Linked DNA regions of Arabidopsis thaliana. The protein of the gene in region 2 interacts with the protein of the main gene of each other region in a pairwise test. Each region holds a gene or a part of one and is shown on either strand. Other genes may lie near its edges.

The links.
Region 1: the proteins of AT5G22890 (region 2) and AT2G19650 interact in a two-hybrid assay, tested with the Arabidopsis thaliana proteins (one large-scale study listed by BioGRID).
Region 3: the proteins of AT5G22890 (region 2) and FIB interact in a two-hybrid assay, tested with the Arabidopsis thaliana proteins (one large-scale study listed by BioGRID).

What each region holds. Positions count from the first base shown.
Region 1 is NC_003071.7:8,491,708-8,498,439, forward strand, and holds AT2G19650 (Cysteine/Histidine-rich C1 domain family protein), read right to left. Parts: upstream 4,186-6,732; 5' UTR 3,997-4,185; coding exon 1,948-3,996; 3' UTR 1,762-1,947; downstream 1-1,761. Other genes in the region: ASHR2 (ASH1-related protein 2), read left to right, coding at 1-890; AT2G19660 (Cysteine/Histidine-rich C1 domain family protein), read right to left, coding at 5,013-6,732.
Region 2 is NC_003076.8:7,651,430-7,657,472, reverse strand, and holds AT5G22890 (C2H2 and C2HC zinc fingers superfamily protein), read left to right. Parts: upstream 1-2,637; 5' UTR 2,638-2,810; coding exon 2,811-3,932; 3' UTR 3,933-4,216; downstream 4,217-6,043. Other genes in the region: CHX3 (cation/H+ exchanger 3), read right to left, coding at 1-249; HTB2 (histone B2), read left to right, coding at 4,906-5,343; AT5G22875 (uncharacterized protein), read right to left, coding at 5,870-5,996. UniProt on the Arabidopsis thaliana protein: Probable transcription factor. Together with STOP1, plays a critical role in tolerance to major stress factors in acid soils such as proton H(+) and aluminum ion Al(3+). Required for the expression of genes in response to acidic stress (e.g.
Region 3 is NC_003075.7:1,929,532-1,935,711, reverse strand, and holds FIB (fibrillin), read right to left. Parts: upstream 3,830-6,180; 5' UTR 3,552-3,829; coding exon 3,106-3,551; intron 2,764-3,105; coding exon 2,568-2,763; intron 2,481-2,567; coding exon 2,166-2,480; 3' UTR 1,762-2,165; downstream 1-1,761. Other genes in the region: AT4G04025 (transcription repressor), read left to right, coding at 1,103-1,618, 1,689-1,703. UniProt on the Arabidopsis thaliana protein: Probably involved in light/cold stress-related jasmonate (JA) biosynthesis. Contributes to the protection of photosystem II (PSII) against light stress.

The DNA.
Region 1 (6,732 bases), on a different chromosome or scaffold from region 2:
TTCACCAATCATCCTCCTCTGCATTCTCCGATCAACCTTCTGATCGTCAAGTCCAAGCTCGTTTCCTCCTCTCTGCTTACAATCTCGCCGCTGCTTCTCCTTCTGATTTCCAGATTTTGCTCTCTCTCCAAGGTAGTGGCAGCAGCAATGGAGATCCTTCTTGTTCTGCGGGTGATTCTGCAGCTGCTGGGTTTCTTCATTCTCTTTTATCTTCCGTGTGTCCATCTCTTCCGGTGTCTATCTCGCCGGATCTCACGGCGGCTTTACTGTCAAAGGATAAAGTTAACGCCTTTGGTCTGATGGAACCGTGCTCTGTTTCGAATGAGAAAAGATCTGTGCGAGCTTATGGGATTTATCCAAAGACTTCGTTTTTCAATCATGATTGTCTTCCTAATGCTTGTAGATTCGATTATGTTGACTCTGCTTCTGATGGTAATACTGATATCATCATTAGGATGATTCATGATGTTCCTGAAGGTAGAGAAGTTTGTTTAAGCTACTTCCCTGTGAACATGAACTATTCGAGTAGACAAAAGAGATTGCTTGAGGATTACGGTTTTAAGTGTGACTGTGATCGGTGCAAAGTGGAATTTAGTTGGTCTGAAGGTGAGGAAGATGAGAATGAGATTATGGAAGAGATGGAGGATCAAGATGAACAAGAAGAGATGGAAGATTCAGTAGGTGAGAATGAAGAAGAAGTTTGTGGAAATGGTGTGGATGATGAATCTAATTTTCCTCATGCTTACTTTTTTGTGAGATATATGTGTGAGAAGGAGAATTGTTTTGGCACTCTAGCTCCGCTTCCCCCGAAGACTCATGATGCTTCGAGAGTTCTTGAATGTAATGTTTGTGGAAGCGTTAAGGAGGATGAAGTTGGCGTAAATCAATGAGGAAGGTTAGCTTAAAGAATTGATCAGCCGAAAATCTCAAGCTTGTTTGATGCAGCCAGACCCAAACAACAAGAGACTTGTCTTGGACCACATCGTTAATCAATGTTGTTTGTTGTTTGATGTTTACTTTTTTTTTTTTACTCAGTTTTGAAAATTCGATAAGTATTCTAGCTCTAGAATTCCATATCTAGGTTTTTTGTTTTCTCCTAGATAGTCTGAAGAATCAATTGTAATGGTCTGTGGAATTACACGGAAACAGTTTTGTTGTAATAATGGAGCATCAGTTTTCTTTGGTTGAATGAAAAATCATAATTTTTTTGACTTTTTAAGTTGAAAACTGCAGAATTACATGGCTTGATGATGTTTGCATTGTTAATCTCTATTACTCTTCAGTGTGCTCAGTGCCTGAAACCATAGCTTCCTTGATAGGGATCAATGTATTGGTAAACCAAATTGTGTAATAGTTTTTCCATAAAATAGATTCAATAGAACCAGTGTAACAAAAAATTATTAGGGGGCTCTGTTTTAAGGTCGCAACATGACGGTGACACAAACATTTTTTAGTGATTAACTTGTTCTCATTCTGTTCCAAGTTCAACAACACAAACTGAGTTTTTTGGCTTCTCTATCAGAGAACTAATGTGATTCTACAACACAACCTGCTCTGACTGACTTACTCTGCTATGTTCTGTTTTGCTCTGCTCTGTTCTCACTTCCACGTCTCTGTTTTTGTCATTGACATTTCGACTTGTAGGAACTTAAACATTTAGTGGATTGACTGGCAAGATTGATCCAACCTTTTCCAATCTTACATCCATAAATAAGTTGATATTTTTTCTGGTTTTTATTTGGCAAACACTAATGCACCCTAGGGTTCAATGAGATATATATATATTACACTAACACAAGTACACAACCAAATGTTATTGTAGGGACTTGTAATAATTTAACAGACCCAGATTCCTCACAAATTCTACCAAATTTGCGAGTCATTCAAGCTAGCAAACATTATCATCTATAAATAAATAGTTTTCTAAACATAGTAAAGAACATAATTTTAAAATTCGAAACGTTCCTGATAAATTTTCTTCTCACATTCTAAAGAACAAAAGTATAGATCAGCTCCGTCCTCGGGAAGCGTACGAACGAAAGGGAGCTTGCATCGAGAGTTGCACACGCAGCAAAGTGGTCTACAAATAGAGTGGTTGGATACAAATGTTCCTATCCATGTTAACGCTCCTGGCATGGAATATGCGTAAGTATCTATAACGCAGGAAATATGCAATGTGATCCCACACTCATTGCATGTATAGAACCATTTTTCTGGGTTCACAGTTGTTTCGCATGCTTCACACCAATATTTGCCAGCCACGCCCATTTCGCCATAAGATAAGAAGAGAGGATGATCGTCGTACCTATGCCTCATTACCTTTTGCGGTAAAATAGCACACTTGAAGCACAAACCAAATTCACAATCATCGCAACTCAATTTCCCGTCTCCATCACACTCACTACAACGTTTGGAGTGATCTGTAGAGTAGTGTAAAGGATGTTGATGGCTTTTGTGCTCAAATGGTTCTGTAACTGTAGCGCACCGTACATCTATCCTTAATTCCTTAGATTCATAGGAGAAACCGGTGAACAGTTGACGGCAAATACTACACCTATGTAACAAGTAGGTGCCATAATTTGGGGATAGTTCGAGTGGCTGGTTGTGGCACACATGACGTTTCTTTAAAGGAAGCTTGGCACATTTTTCGTGGATTATGAAATCGCATCTCTTTCTCGCGCAAGCGTAGAACGGTTCTGAACAAATCTGGAAGACACATGCGGTACAAACTACACTTTCTGGTAGATTCCAGCCACGGTAAATTCGTAAGTTATGCTTATGGCCGTAATGGTCTATCGTGTTGTCATCAATCACCTTGAATGGCGCAGTTTCCTCTTCTTCGGGTGTCCCTTCCAGTTCGATCATGTCCCATACATCCCTTCTGGTTGCGCATCTTGAATGAACAAAATAATCAAAACATTTGGAGCAAGAATAAGCCCCGTAGAACCCATCCACATTTTTACGACAAACTCTGCATTTCCCGTCTCCATGTCCGAGGCGAGGGGTGTAAGAGATGCGGTGGTCGTGGCGGTTGATGTTTATGACGCGAGGTAGATCGATACATTCCCGATGAATCATGAAATTGCACTGAAGACAGAAATAAGGGCTACGGTCACCTAGCGTCCCACAAGCATTGCAAGTGAAGTCAATGCGTCTTGGAACAAGGTGAAGTTGATGTTCATGGGTCCTCGGGCTTTTAACAAGAACCGGTGGTGGGTTTTTCATACATGATCTGCATATGCTAAAATTACAAACACCACAGTGGTGAAGCTGGCGATGGATTCCATCAAACTCCTCGCGGCAAAGAAGACATTTCTTGTCGGCGTAACCAGGGACTTCATATCTAAGTGACTTGAGTGGGTGTTGGGGGTGAGAAGTGTGGTATGCTTCTGGACTATTATGATCGATACAATCCAGACTGATGAAAAACTCGCATTGATGACATGTGTAGAAATGTTTCCAGCTATTATGTTGATGGCCACACCCTTTGCAATCTCTGAGTGTTTCGTGCGCTTCATGGGAGAGTTGGAGTGGATGCTCGTGTAGGTAGGAGTTTTCAGCAAGAACAAGTAGGGCTGGTCTCCTCGCGCAAATCAAATCCAACTGGAAATCACATTTGTTACAGCGATAACCGACACTGAAAAATTCTCCACAGAAACTACAATTAGAAACTCTGGTATGTAGGAGGATCAGCTTGAGAGGATGGACTGGATGGTAAGGGTGGTCGATTTCTGGTAACGGCTTGGCGCACTCTTCATGGAACACAACATCACATCCCGGCTCATTGCATCGGTGTCCTCCGTAAATGTAACTGCAACCGGGATGTTTGGAAATGAAGCTTGTATTATCTTCATCGGTCGAGTAGCATCCTTTACACTTGGTGAACTCGAAGCGTGTAAAAGGTATCAACGGATGCTCATGAAATGGTAACAATTTTTCAAGGCGGGATGCTTCTTCGTCCATGCCTTCATTAAACAAAGCTAGAAAGTTTTCCATGGTGATGTTTTCTTACTTCCACCAAAACACAAAGCTCTTCTCTTCTGCACTAGTTTCAGACTTGGTTTCTTGTTTTTCTCTCTTTCTTTTCTTTCAGGATTTTTTTTCAAGTGGTTTATCATTTTCAGACTTTGCAAATAGTTAATATGAATTCGCACCACAGAAATGATTCTTTTCATTACTGAGATTGAGACCACATGTGTTGGCTTCATCCTTGCATTATTTAATTAACTCAGACCACATATGTTGACTCTGCAACTATTGTGTCCGGCCAAAACATAAATAATTGAATGAATACAAAAAAGGTTTTTTCTTGCATTAAATGGAATAGAAGTTTATGGATAGAATAGTTTAGAATTTAAATGGATGGAACTGTACATTTTGTGGAAAAAACAGTTTGAAGTCTGAACCACACAACTCCTTGGCCAAGTAGCTTTGGAGGTAGACTTTGCTGCATTCAAGTCTCTGAAACCAAAGTTTTATTATTGTATTGCATCCACTAACTTTTATGTAATTTCAGACCAAAAGATTTGTATTTTTGTCTTTAAGACCAGGATTGGGCCAATCTTTGTTTTTTAATTTTTATACAGCCAAAAGTAAGTTCTATTTCCACCATCAGATTGTATAACCCATTTGAATAACACTATAAAGTTAACATATATATACCATCTGAAACATTCGAAGAATCATTTGTCAAATCACATGTATTCAAATCACTCAGAGCAAATTTTGATTAATAAAGAAGTTAAAAAGACATACTGCGTATACATGAGCTGCTCTTGCTTTAGCACAAAACAGAGACCAGATTCCAGTTCCAGCTCTAATGTCAAGAAACTTGTTCTTTTAAATATCCTGTTAAGAAATTCTGTTTCTAAGATCATTGAGACTGCTGCTGACTGGATTCAAAAGATTGATAATTGTGGAAAAAGCGCATAAGCTTGAGGTTAAAAAAAAACTATTGTAAAACATACTTTTGGAATTAAATGGTACAAAGTTTTTCTTCATTAAAACATGCCTTACCAATCACTACTAGAGTAGTTATTAGAGCGGTTGAAATTATAATAACAGTTTAAAGAACAAATGTATAAAACAACATCGGCTTTGGAAACGACCTTAACAATGGAAGGAAGCTTGCATTGAGAGTTACACACATAGCAAAATGGTCTACACATAGAGGTGTTGGATACCACCAAGTCTTCCTCCCATCCTATTTTGGAACCTGGCATATAATATGAGAAGTCTCCCACAACGCATGAAATATGCAATATGACACCACAATCATTGCATGTATAGAACCATTTCTTCGAATTCACTTTTGTTTCACATGCTTCACACCAGTATTCTCCATCCACACTACTTTCACCACACGACAAGTAAAGAGGATGATCGTCGTATCTATGCCACTTTACTTTCTGCGGTAAAAGAGCACACTTGAAGTCCAAACTATAGTCACACTCATCACAGCTAAAGCTTCCTATATCTAGATCCATGTTTTTGCCACATTCCGTACAAGACTTAGAACTACGTTTCGAAAAGTATAAGGGATGTTGATGGCTTTGGTGCACCAATGGTTCTCGAATTGAACCACATCGTACATCTAGAGTAACCATACGAGTAAGACACTCGTACCTGAAACCGGTGAAACTTTGCCAACAAAGATCACATGAAGTTTCGTCTGAAGTATCATTTGTGACTAGGGTAAATGGTAGGTTGTCGCAAACATGCCGTTTCTTCCGAGGCAGGTTAGCACATTTTTGGTGGAGAATGAAGTCACAATTCTCGCAACTGTAGAACGCATCTGAACAGATCTGGAAGACACATGCTTTACATAGTGTGCTTTCATGGAGAATCCTCCCATCCTTGTTGATTACTAAGTTATGATCATGGCTAAAATGTTTGATCGTGTTATCATCAATCACCTCGAATGGCGCATCTTCCTCTGGCTCTTCGGGTGTCCCTTCTAGCTCTATCATGTCCCATACATCCTCGTCCGTTGCGCATCTCGAGTGAACAACATAGTTAGAACATTTTGAGCAAGAATAACCCCCGTAGAAGCCATCAACCTTTTTACGACAAACCCCGCATGTATTTTGCCCATGTCCAAGACGACGAGTGTAGGAGATGCGATGATCGTGGCGGTTGATGTTTATGACGCGGGGCAAATCGATACACTCCCAATGAATCATGAAGTTGCATTGAAGACAGAAATAAGGGCTTTGATCAGCTTGAGTCCCGCAAGCATTGCAAGTGAAACCGAGAGGTTTTGAAAGAAGATAAAGTTGATGCTCATGGGTGGTCGGGCTTACAACACTAAGCGGCGGTGGGTTTTCCATACAGCCGCCACATATGGTAAAGTTACAAACATCACAGTGGTGAATTCGTCCGTCAAACTTATTCCCGCAAAGAAGACACTTGTTGTCGGCGTAATCGGGTGCTTCTTCACATCTAAGGAGCTTGAGTGGGTGTTGGGGGTGTAAAACGTGGCTAGCTTGTGGAAAAAGTTTGGTACACTCCACATGAAAGCGTAAATCGCATTTATTACATTTGTAATGAACAGCATCGAAAACTCCCCATTTGCATGTTTTGCAAAGTTGCACAAAACCGTCACGGGTTCCATCAGAGAGCTGAATCGGATGCTCGTGGACAGTGGATTCTTCAAGAATAAATTCCAAAGGCAACCTCGTCGCGCAACGAAAATCCAACTTGAAGTCACAAATCGAACAAAGATAACCATTT
Region 2 (6,043 bases):
ACGTATCATGCCAAGACGTCGAAGGAAGAAATGTAAGAATTGCCATAAGAAAGAGATGATGAGAAATATCATTTGCAAGTGTGGAAACGCGTAATTCCAGAAATGAACATTGATGTTAGGATCTGAGAATTTTTGTTGCGGCCAAACACCATTGGAGCTAGGGTTGATAGGTAAGACGTCACAAATCATGGTTCCTTCTCTCCATGTGTCTCTCATGTAAAACATCTTATTATCTCCAAACACCTCCATTGATGATGATGAACCCTCAAATGAAACAAATTAAAAAAAAAAAAAGATTCCAGGAGCAATGTGTTATCGGAGAAGGATTACAAGGATTTGGATCTTTTATATGAATTAATTCTTCTTTTACTGTTTAGGTAACAGAATCTAAAGAACAAGTGATCATCTGAGTTTTAAAACCCTAATAATAGTAAATAATGAATGGGCAAACGTTACCAACAAGAAACAGGTTTTGGCCGGCGACATAAATATATATATTTTAAAGGATTGTCTGATTACTGTTAGTTTTTACAGGTTACAACTTAATTCTGCTAATTTACGGGTAATTGAGCAAACTACAACAGACAAATTGCCAAAGGTCATGAAGAAAGAAATTACAATCCAACTTCTGGCGATACCACGTGCCGCCTCTATTTCTCCGGTGATTCCGATGGATCATCAGATTATGATGACGAGTAATCATCTCCGATCCCGTGTTCTTGCTCACGTCCCGGTGATCAGATTGGAGGAATTTGAAATTGCAATTTAAAACTCATTCAAAAATAGTTAGCTTGGGTAGCAAGCATAATTTTTCCAAAAGAAATTTGTGTATTTTTTTTCTTTATATTTTCTTTTTTTATTTGACAAAGTACGTAATAATAGGGAAAGTGGAGTTCGAACTCCCAGCTACGCAAAGGTCTTGTTTTTGTTAGCTTTCACTTTTTGGTCACATATTGGAAACTTGAAAACTAAATTAAAGTAGTTGAGTTGAATTTGTTTGGTGTAGCATTTTAAAACTGAGGGTAATTATATACATGACATTTGTAATTCAGAGATTCATGTCATCCTACATTCCCATGTTGTGGTGAGCCAGTTCGACTGGCCTATATTAGTGAAGTCTGGTTTAATAACGTCTTATTTACAAATGTGGTTTGCAGGTTGGTTCCCAGCAAAAAGAACTAAAAAACTCTACTAGAATCGCATGTGGAATACACTGTCACTGTAATGGTAGCAGCAACTTCTTTTTTTTAAAAAGCGTTAACTAACGTGGCATTTTTTTCTTCTAAAGGACAAAAAGTAACGTAACTCACCAAAGCTAACCCCAAGAAACAGCATTGATCACCCATATCATCATCACTGCATAGAAATTTTGATTAGTCACCAACAAAACTACTTCTTCCGAAATTAAAAAATGAGCACGCATAAGCAATATTTATTTAATATAATTGCAACTCATGCCGATGGCCACATTATAAACATTTCATGTAAGATCCAATCATATAATCGTATATGCACGCGTGTACAAATATGTGTGCATGAAAAGAAAAAAAAATATGTGTGCATGTAAGCAGATAAGAGAACTGAATGTAGTCGCAACTTTTTTTTTAAAGGATTGGATTTGACATAAGATATTATATAGATGTGAGCTTGACAGTTACAGAACGTATTGTATATAGAACAATACAAGAAAAGGCCATGAAAGAACACTAACACTTGACTTAGGTTAATCATTCTTTAATTACATCGGGATTGACCTTCTTCGTTTATTTAACTCATAAGATGTAGCTGACAAAGTCTAGTTAAGGTTTCATCCGGGGGAGGATTTATGTGGGGATGGTCGCTTTTGCTATCTCGAGTTGACTTCCAAGTTAATCCTAACCACATCACATACTTCTATTATTCCATTTTCAACCTAATGTAAATAATTCATATACATGACAAATGCATTTAGAGAGAAGAAAAAACATCATTCATGACGACAAAAACTTAGTCTATTGAACTTTTCTAGCGTTTTCTCTTGCCAGCATCCGGGTTCATCAAAATCTGTATATTGCATATTATTGTCATTATTGACAAAAAGACATTATTTACAACTTCTATGTATCGTATATTTATAAACGTCTAGATGTCTTTTTAATTTAAAACATCTTTGTAAATCTTTAATTAAATATCTGATTTTAAATAAAATCAAACATAAACATAAACAAATATAGTTGTGGAAGTCCTTTGGCCCAATGGTTGATTAAGGGTTCATCAACCCCCGCTAATTTTTTTTTTCTTTCTAAAACAGATGAATGTAACCTAACGTGTGTCCCGTCTCTAGAAAACATAAAATTCTTAAATTCTAACTTCTAAATTAAGAAAAAAAAACATTACTTGACATAATATATCAATTAGAATGTTTTTTTTTTTAATTACAATATTTTGTTTGGATCAAAATATCTTTTGGATTTTAAATCACTAATAAACTGCAAGGTTCAAAATATAGTTAGGTTCAATAGCTTAGTTTTCAAATTTTACTCAATTTAGTATAATCTTTCCGATTTTAAGATGTTTGATAAAGTGAAACGAAAAAATAAATTACTATATGTGTGACATGTATTTGTTTGTGTGTGTTATTTTGTGTGAATGTATGTCACAACTCGCGAGTATTTTATACGGTAGAGGGTAGGGTGTCTTCTTCATTGCATCTCTCTAGAGTCTGGACCGTCTGGCATATATATGAAACAAATATACCACAAAGAATTTAAAGATTCAACAAAATCCAAAGAAAATATAAGAACAAAACTCAAGCTAGATTCTTCATATACATGCATATACATATGATGAATCGAGATGAGCATATTGCAAAGAAAGTTGAAGGATCAATCTCTAGCTTCTCCGGGGAGACCAGTACTTCCTCAAAACAAATCTATGTTAATCCCGTGACCACGACCGGGACGAAATCAATGGAAGACGACGACGTTTCACTCTCTCTTCTATACAATCTATCTACCTTACATGAAAAAGTCCATCAGATCCAATCTCTGGTCAGCTTCTACATGGTATCTACTAATAACATTAACCAATCCTCGGGGTCAACGTCTTTGGCCGTGGCTAACATCGGAAGTTTGGTTCAAGAGATCATCACGGCTGCTTCATCCATGTTATATACTTGCCAACAACTCCAAATCGGATCTAACAACAACAACAACGATATCGATAATGATCAAACCGTAGATGCAATGGTTTTGGAGTTTTCCCGACAAGAAACCGACCCGGGTCATGATTTTGTGCAAGAGTCGACCAACCTTTTTGGTGTCCAAGAAAGAGGGCAGATCTCGTTTCCCGACCAGAATCTTGATTGGTACAACACCGAAACCATAAACCCTAAAAAAGATAAACATCGTTCTAAACCAAGTTCCGGGAGCTACGATATACTGGAGCTAGACGTAGCGGACCTACTAGCGAAATACACGCATTACTGCCAGATTTGTGGGAAAGGGTTTAAGAGAGACGCTAATCTAAGGATGCACATGAGAGCGCACGGGGATGAGTACAAGACACGTGAGGCCTTGATCAGCCCAACGAGCCAAGACAAGAAAGGAGGATACTCGTTAAAGAAACATTACTACTCCTGTCCTCAACACGGGTGTAGATGGAACCAGAGGCACGAGAAGTTTCAACCGTTGAAATCTGTGATTTGCGCCAAGAATCATTACAAGAGGAGTCATTGTCCCAAAATGTATATGTGCAGGAGATGTAGTGTGAAGCATTTCTCGGTTCTGTCTGATCTTAGGACACACGAGAAGCATTGTGGGGATATAAAGTGGGTTTGCTCTTGTGGGACTAAATTTTCTAGGAAAGACAAGCTGATGAGCCACGTTTCTTTGTTTTTGGGCCACGTACCGGCACATGGGTCGTCCAAGCCGCCGACAATCACCCTAAAGTAAGAACATAGGAAGTTTGAGGTCTATAGAGATTTCATAGACGATATCTCAAGAAATGACACGTGCATTCACTCCCTCTCTTTTTTTTGTTCTTTTTCTTTTCACGAGTTTCTATATTCTCTAAATTAATGTCACAAAGATAAGATAATATACAGATTTGTATCATAGTGACTTGTGCATTAACGTTAATGTTACAAATGATTTTGGTTCTGATGGGTATCATGCATAGATTTTCACTAATCTCAGAAATATGTGGAATCAGTGAGAATCAAAATTTATGTTTAATACGTCTCTCACTTCTCAGATTAATCAACAACTATCTATTGATATATCATGCAGAATTTTAAGAAAATATAAGAAACATCGTTAACTCTGTTAAAATACAACTACATATTAACTTATTAAGATGAGTCCAACTTATTAAGCTGAACTAAATGTTTGTATTTTAGAGAAATTCAAAATTTGTATCTATAAAAAGTTGGTTATTTTTGAAGAATTTTGAAAGAGTTGAAAACTTATAATTATGCATTAGTTCTTCATTTCCATAAAAATGTTAGATAGGAAAAAGTTGTTACCAACTTTGTAGATACGGTAAAATCATAGCCGTTCATTGGTAGACGGATCAAAAGTAACCACGTCAGCTATCCACGCCAAAAACTTTTTCTCTCTTTGCCGCTTCATGAACTTATGGCGGATAACAAAAAGCGCAACAGAAAATTCGAATTTTTCAATATTTCGAAAAAGAAATTTAAAATCACTCGCGCATTAAAGTAAAATAGATCTGAACCATCCATTCACCAAAACCCTTCATCGAACAGCACTCATATCTCCACGTCACGCATCCGCGTTTCAGTATCTTAACTAATCAGATCTCTTCCTATTCTCTTATATAAACAAACACACAATTCTCGAAGATAACAGTATCAAATCAAAACCATCACAGCAAAAAAAACTCACTCCCTAGAAAAGTTTGAAAATGGCGAAGGCAGATAAGAAACCAGCGGAGAAGAAACCGGCAGAGAAAACTCCGGCAGCCGAACCAGCAGCAGCGGCAGAGAAGAAACCAAAAGCCGGAAAGAAACTCCCGAAGGAACCAGCCGGCGCCGGAGACAAGAAGAAGAAGAGATCAAAGAAGAACGTTGAGACATACAAGATCTACATCTTCAAGGTGTTGAAGCAAGTTCATCCAGATATCGGAATCTCCAGCAAAGCCATGGGAATCATGAACAGTTTCATCAATGATATCTTTGAGAAACTTGCTGGTGAGTCTTCGAAGCTTGCGAGGTACAACAAGAAGCCGACGATTACTTCTAGGGAGATTCAGACTGCGGTGAGACTTGTGTTGCCTGGAGAGTTGGCGAAACATGCTGTTTCTGAAGGGACTAAGGCGGTTACGAAGTTTACGAGTTCTTAGATTTGGAATGTGGTTTTGTAATGGAGGAGAAGTAGTAGTAGTAGTTGGAATGTGAAATAGGGTTTATGCTTTTGGGTATCTTTGAGGGTTATGTAATATGGGAATTAGGGTTTTAATTTATGGCACGGCTATGAAATCTACTTAATTTTCCAATGTTCGATTGCAATTTCATTGCTCAATTTCTCAAATCTGTTAATTTTGATTAGAATCTAAAGAGCTCCACTTTAACTGAGATAAAAAAAATTGAAACAGTGATTCTCATTGCGTATATATCTAAGCTTTGATTTGAGAAGTATTGTCCAAGTTATGTGATTTTGAGTCTCAAAACTTTTTAGACAATCAAAAATCAAGTTCTTATGCAGGAATAAATCTGTTTCTTCAGTTACATTCAATGGTTAAGTTGGACTGGTGTTACATGAAGGACAACGACTTAAATGGATTGGAGAACAAACTACAAAACGATATTATCTTATGAATACAAAGCTCACAATGAAAACACCTGCGTAATTGTTTTGACTTGATTGGATCATTTCTTTGGGTAAGTTCGATGATCAGGTCCAACATCGCGTGAGCCTGTGTTTATGTAAGGTCCTCTAAAAGTTGCTTGAGGAGGTAATGGTTTTGTTGGATCGATAACTGGTTGTTTCGAAGATCTGCAACCCAAATGAGACAGAGTAAACAACAAATGTCATACCACAAG
Region 3 (6,180 bases), on a different chromosome or scaffold from region 2:
ATTATAAATTTTTCTAAACCCCAAAGCAAAAATGAGGTATTTGTACAAGCCAGCAGGATAAAGCATGTCTTGTCTCCAAGACACAACCATACGTTATCTCTTAATCTATCATTTATATTTAACGATTTTAACCAGCTTTTACTATTGAACTGCATTGCATGAATGATGAAATTACATCATATATAGGTTCTAGCGAAATCATGTATGGCACATTGCAATTATGATCTATTTAAAATTTAGTATGTCCTTTGAGAGAATGTTAAAACAAAAATCGATATCAGTGGTTTTCATTTTTTTCTCTTTCTATTTTTTAGTTGGGACAGATGATGTCAACTATTACATATTGATCACTTTTTCCACATTACCAAAAACTTTAAAGTTTAGATATCTCATCTTCAACAACAACAACTAAACTAAAGTAGACATGAAGATGGTCTACATCACATCATAATCAAATTAATCACCCCTATATTTCTAAAACACGACACAAATACATGCATTTAGTACTCCTTTCTTCAAAAAAAAAAAAAAAAAACAGTTATCTTCAATCAGACCTAATGTTCTCTATTATATTCCTACTTTTGATTTGACATATATTTTTCAGAAACTACAACATCTTTTTTTTCCAATAAGCCTTAATTATATATTAGTTAAGTGATAGTGGTCGATTTATCATTGTTTCAATGACTTGAAATAATGAATCAAATTTCACTGAACACACTCTTTTCTTTGATCTTGTAGAAAATTTATCAATTCGAAAAATTAAATGAAAGTTCAATCTAACCTTATATATCTAAGTGTACGACTTTGTATTGCATTATGAACACAAATCGTAGATACTAGATAATGATTTTGAAGAATATAAATAAATAAATATTAGTTTACACAAATGAATAACGTTGGAAACTTGTTGCGAGACTAAAATTTAAAAATATATCGTTTATTGAGGTTTTAATTATATTATGATCAAGACATAATCATGATGAACAAGCCCCACATTTTCAATTTACACATAAATGTTTTAATTAGAACTCTTTTCTATTTGCGTTTACAAACATCTAAAATCCTCAAAACCTGATTATAATGTGACTTAACTTTCAACATGAAACTCATAAACAGAGCAGAAGAAAAAGCAGAGAAGCATAACAAACAATCACAACACCAAACAAAAGAAGCAAGAGTCTGCAGAGCTTTGTGTTGCAGCAACAAAGCAAGACTCAGCATTTCTTCTTCTTCCTCGGTGGAAGCAGACAAGAGTTCAAGATTTTCAGACCATCACGGTTCGCTCTCTAGTCTAGCACACTACATGGTTCAGGAGAAGCTAGAGCAGATGATCAGAGAGACACAAGAAGCCACACATCAAGAGAAGATAAGACAACAAAAGATGAGAAGAAGAAGAAGAAGAAGTGAGGGTAGTATCAGTAGCACTAAGTTCATTGTCATGATGGCGATGGAGAAATGTTCTTTTGATCCAAGAAAGGATTTTAGAGACTCTATGGTTGAGATGATTGTAGCAAACAAGATCAAAGAAGCAGATGAACTTAGAAGCCTCTTGGAGTACTATCTATCGATGAATCCTCGCGAATATCGGTCTGCCATTCTCGAGATCTTTTACGAGGTTTGTGCTGATTTGTTTCGTAGCTAAGAGTGAACAAAGATCAGTTGTTTCTTTCAAATGTTTGTGTAAGATACCTGGTTTGTAACAAACCGGTTTTCTAAGTAATAAATAGATTTACCACCATTCATAAACCAAAAATAACTGAAATTAAAATTACAGAACTAGATACAAATTTTGGTTTCAATTTGGTATCCCCTTTGTAAACTCAAACCAGACCAAAATGCTGACAACCTGATCCAATCCGAGTCAAAAGTTCGAACTGAAACTAAACCGGAAAACCGAATGCCATACAGAATGCAAACCCTCCTAGTATACCAAATTTGAACCAATGCTAAGTGTTGCTGTTGCAAACCCATAACTGGCCTGTTCAAGTATGTAGTTATGTATATGTATTGTAGTACAGTATACCAAGAGTAACATCCATTATAAGTTTATAACTCTCCAACAGGTAAAGAAGCTATATAACAGTTACAACACTAGTAAACATAGACAGATGGGTCTATACTTGTATATATGTTACTATGGATGTGATGAGAGTTATGATGATTTAAGGGTTTAAGAGAGAGCTTCCTTCTTTGATGAGCACATAGACGCTTCCACCATCGCCTCTCGAGATCCGAAGGTCCTTGTCGAGATAAGTTGTGAGCAGCCACGACTGCGTGTTGTCACTAGGCAGAGAAAACTTCAATGGTGGTTGGTTTGAAATGGTTCTAGCCACTGAAGAAGCAGTGTCTTGGACTGATGTAAGTAAACCTTTAATGGGATTGAGATCGATTTTCTGACCAAGAACCTCCACGGATTCCGGTATTTCAATCGAATCCGTTAGCTGAGGAGTCCCTATAACACCTTGCTCGAACTTAATCTACAACAAACAAAACAAAAAAAACAATTAGGTTATGTAACATTAGCATTTGCCATTTGTGGTTTTAGGGGATGATTCTTGATTTACCTGGACACGTTTAGGACTTCGGATTTCAAACTTAGCGTTGGTGCTAAACGACGTTGTGGAAAACGGACCAGCGAACCGGACAGAGTTTTGAACGGTGAAGCTATCGGAATCAATGGTTTGTGAGATCTCATCCACTTTAACCAACGGTTCAATTCTTCGTGAGAGCAATGGGAACAACCCCACGAACGACGTGTAGCTTCACGAGATAAACACTTAAAAACTAAGTTCTTGATTCATAACAATAACGGCTAAAAATAAACGAAGGCTCATAACTACACACAGAATCATAATCCAAATTCATAATTAAATCTTCTTTGTAACCACAACTTGCTTTTCACTATCAAAATCAAATCATTCATAACGGAACTAAACAGTTTTCACCGGGAAATTAAACTTCCACCGGTAAGTTTAAAGTATCATTAACTTAATTGGTAAAGATCCTAGACGAAGCTTAGAGATCACCGGTTTGAGTAATGTTTGGGACAAAACTAATATTACATGCCGTGCCTAGGAGAGTATCAGAACTAAAAGTACTTACGCGAGGATCCATTTGCCGTTGAGGAGAAACAGAGCTTCGTTAGGAGCTGGAGTAGGGTTCTTAGACTCGAGCTGTGTGATGAGCTCGCTGATCTCAGCTCTCGTATCACTCGATACGCTTAAACCTCGATCTGTTCCGTACAACGAATCCGCTAGTGATCTCTTTAGCCTCTCCGTCTCCTCCACGGATTCGATTGCTTTATCTGCTACCGATACGGTTGAAGATGAGGCAAATACTCTCTCCACTCCATCTTGACCCCATTCGTCGTCGATGTCCGTCGCTCGGATTTTGAAATCTGGCCGATGAACAGAGACTCCAATCTCCGATCGCCGATTTATTGAGTTAATCGGTAGTAGGATCGGAGATTTCGATTGGTGTTTAGTGTTTGATGAGCTTGGATTTAGGGTTTTGCAGGGAAACTGGGTGAACAATGGTACCGTCGCCATTTTTGTGTTTGTTCTTCAGAGAAACCTCACGAATTAGGATTTTATAACCGTTGAGCTGGACTGTAAATGACGTATATACCCTTATCTGGTACACTTTCTTATGAACATATAAGTCAAGATCCAAGGGATAGAATAGGTATTTGGAATAGAACAAATGAGGTAAGCTAAGGTGGGATTTTGACACGTGGATGGTTAAAGATCATTGTTTTAAGAATCGACCTGGACTCGTGTGAAGTTGCCGACTTTATGAAAAATTCATAAAATTTGTGGAAGATTTTATTTTCTTCAATAGGGAAACAATTTGGTTTAATTTGGTTTTTGTCCCATTATTTGTGTGGGGGAGAATTTGTTTGGGTTTTCTACGAGAGTTAGGCCATGCAATGCAAATGGCATGATGGATCTAGAATCTTCGGACGTGTACTATACTTTTTGGCCGGTTTTGGTGATCTTCGATCTTCAGTTTTCTGAACGGTGAAGATTCTCTCCAATGCAAAATATCTAAACGGCGATTAATCAACAGTGTAATAAGTAGTTGGACTAAATGGGCCTGGATAGTATATTTAATGGGCCTTTATTAACAAAGAAGACCCATTAAAAATTTAAAATGAATACAATAGTTTTGTATCCAATAGACCAATAGGTCCAAAACGTTCTTAAAGGGAGAAAAATTAGCTGGTAAAATAATAGTACCGGTGTTTGTTCAAAAAAAATAATAATAATAATACTGGGCAGGTGTAGATATTCGGGTACTCATATCTGTTCGGTTCTTTTTTTTTTTGAGTATCGGATCTATTTAGGTATGAAGTTAAAAACCATTCATGTATTCTAAAATTTTGGTTCGGTTTTGGTTTGAGTTTGGATCGATTTAGTTATTTTAGTAAGAATTGAAAAATAATCAAAAATACTCAAAATATTTTTGGGTTCAGGTCGAGTTCGAGTTTTTTACTCATCTATACCTAAATCTAACCGAGATGCCTGATTAGTTTATCCAAAAATATATTAGTTATATTTTACCAAAATATAACCAAATGTAACCAAAATACTTAAATTACTTAGAAAACTATAGGGTGAGTTAAAAATATATACATGGATAAACAGAATATTAAGAATTTATACATAAAAATATGTTATTTACGTAAATAGGAAAGAGAAATAAAATATAAACCAAAAAATATCCTTCCGGTTTAGATTAATTACAAAAATGCCATTGATTCAAAATACTTTAATATTTAATTGGGAGATTTGCAAAACTGCCCTTATTCTAATAACCTTTTGTAAAAATGTCCTTTCCTGAAGGCCATTTTTAAAACTACCCTTTCTAATATGGCAAATGACTGTCTTACCCTTACTGAATGATTAGGTTTCACATTCGTTTCACAATACAATTCGTTTTGGCACAAACTTCTTCGTTTTGGCCAACGAATTTTCCTATCCGATTTCACTCAAAATCGCCGGCGAATTTCCTCTCCGATTTCACTCAAAATTGCCGACGAATTTCCTCTCCGATTTCACTCAAAATCGCCAACGAATTTCCTCTCCGATTTCACTCAAAATCGCCGACAAATTTTCTCTCCGAGAAACCCCAAAATCGCTGACGAATTTCCTCTCCGATAAATCTGTTCTTCGCTGACGGATTCAGATCATTTCTCTACGACGCAAACAATCCCCAGAGATATCGATAGATCCGACGGTAACCGTTTTTATAATCGATTTTATAGTCGATTTTATAGTAGATCTGACGATGTTTCATAACATGTTTTGCAGATGGATTCAGAGAGTGAAATCCTTACATTGCCTGAACAGATCTACAGAGAAGGTGAGGAATCTATTGCACTGGGAACCGTTCAACAATACTTGGATTGGAATTTAGTTAGTAAAGTAGAGGAAGCTTTAGGCGAGTGTTTATTTCAGAAGATTAGAAGTTCGTTTCTTGGTCTTCTAGTTGAATTGGGACCAAAAATGAAGGCTAAGAAGGGAATCAGATTTTCTGGGAAAATCTTTCACTATCTCATGCAGCAGAGAGTGAAAACAAAAGGATCAACTCTTTGGTTTAGAGTTGATTCTCAACCTATCTGTTTCTCCTTGAGAGAGTTCTATCTCACAACAGGTAATAAAGTTTTACAATCGTTTTTAAAGCTTAATTAACTGTCGTAGAATGATTTACAAGGCATTTGCATAACTGTTTGCGTAGTTTACAATCATTTTTAAAACATAAGTAAGTGTTATAGATAATTTACAAGGGATTTTAAAAGCTTTTAAAAGGGGTTTACTTCATTAACAATTATTTAAGAAGCATAAGTTAGTGGCAGATAATGATTTACAAGGGATTTTAAAAAGGGTATGCATGGTTTACAACCGTTTTTAGGCATAAGTAACTAACATAGAATAATTTACAAGGGATTTTAAAAGCTTAAAGAAGTGTTAAACACGTTTACATGGGATTTTAAAAGCATAAGTAAGTGTCTTAAAACGATTTACAAGGGATTTTAGAAGTGTTTGCATGGTTTACAATCGATTTTAAAACATAAGTAAGTGGGATAGAATAATTTACAAGGGATTTTAAAATCTTTTCTAAGGGTTAAACATGATTTACAATCGTTTTTTAAGCATAAGTAAGTTGAATAGAATG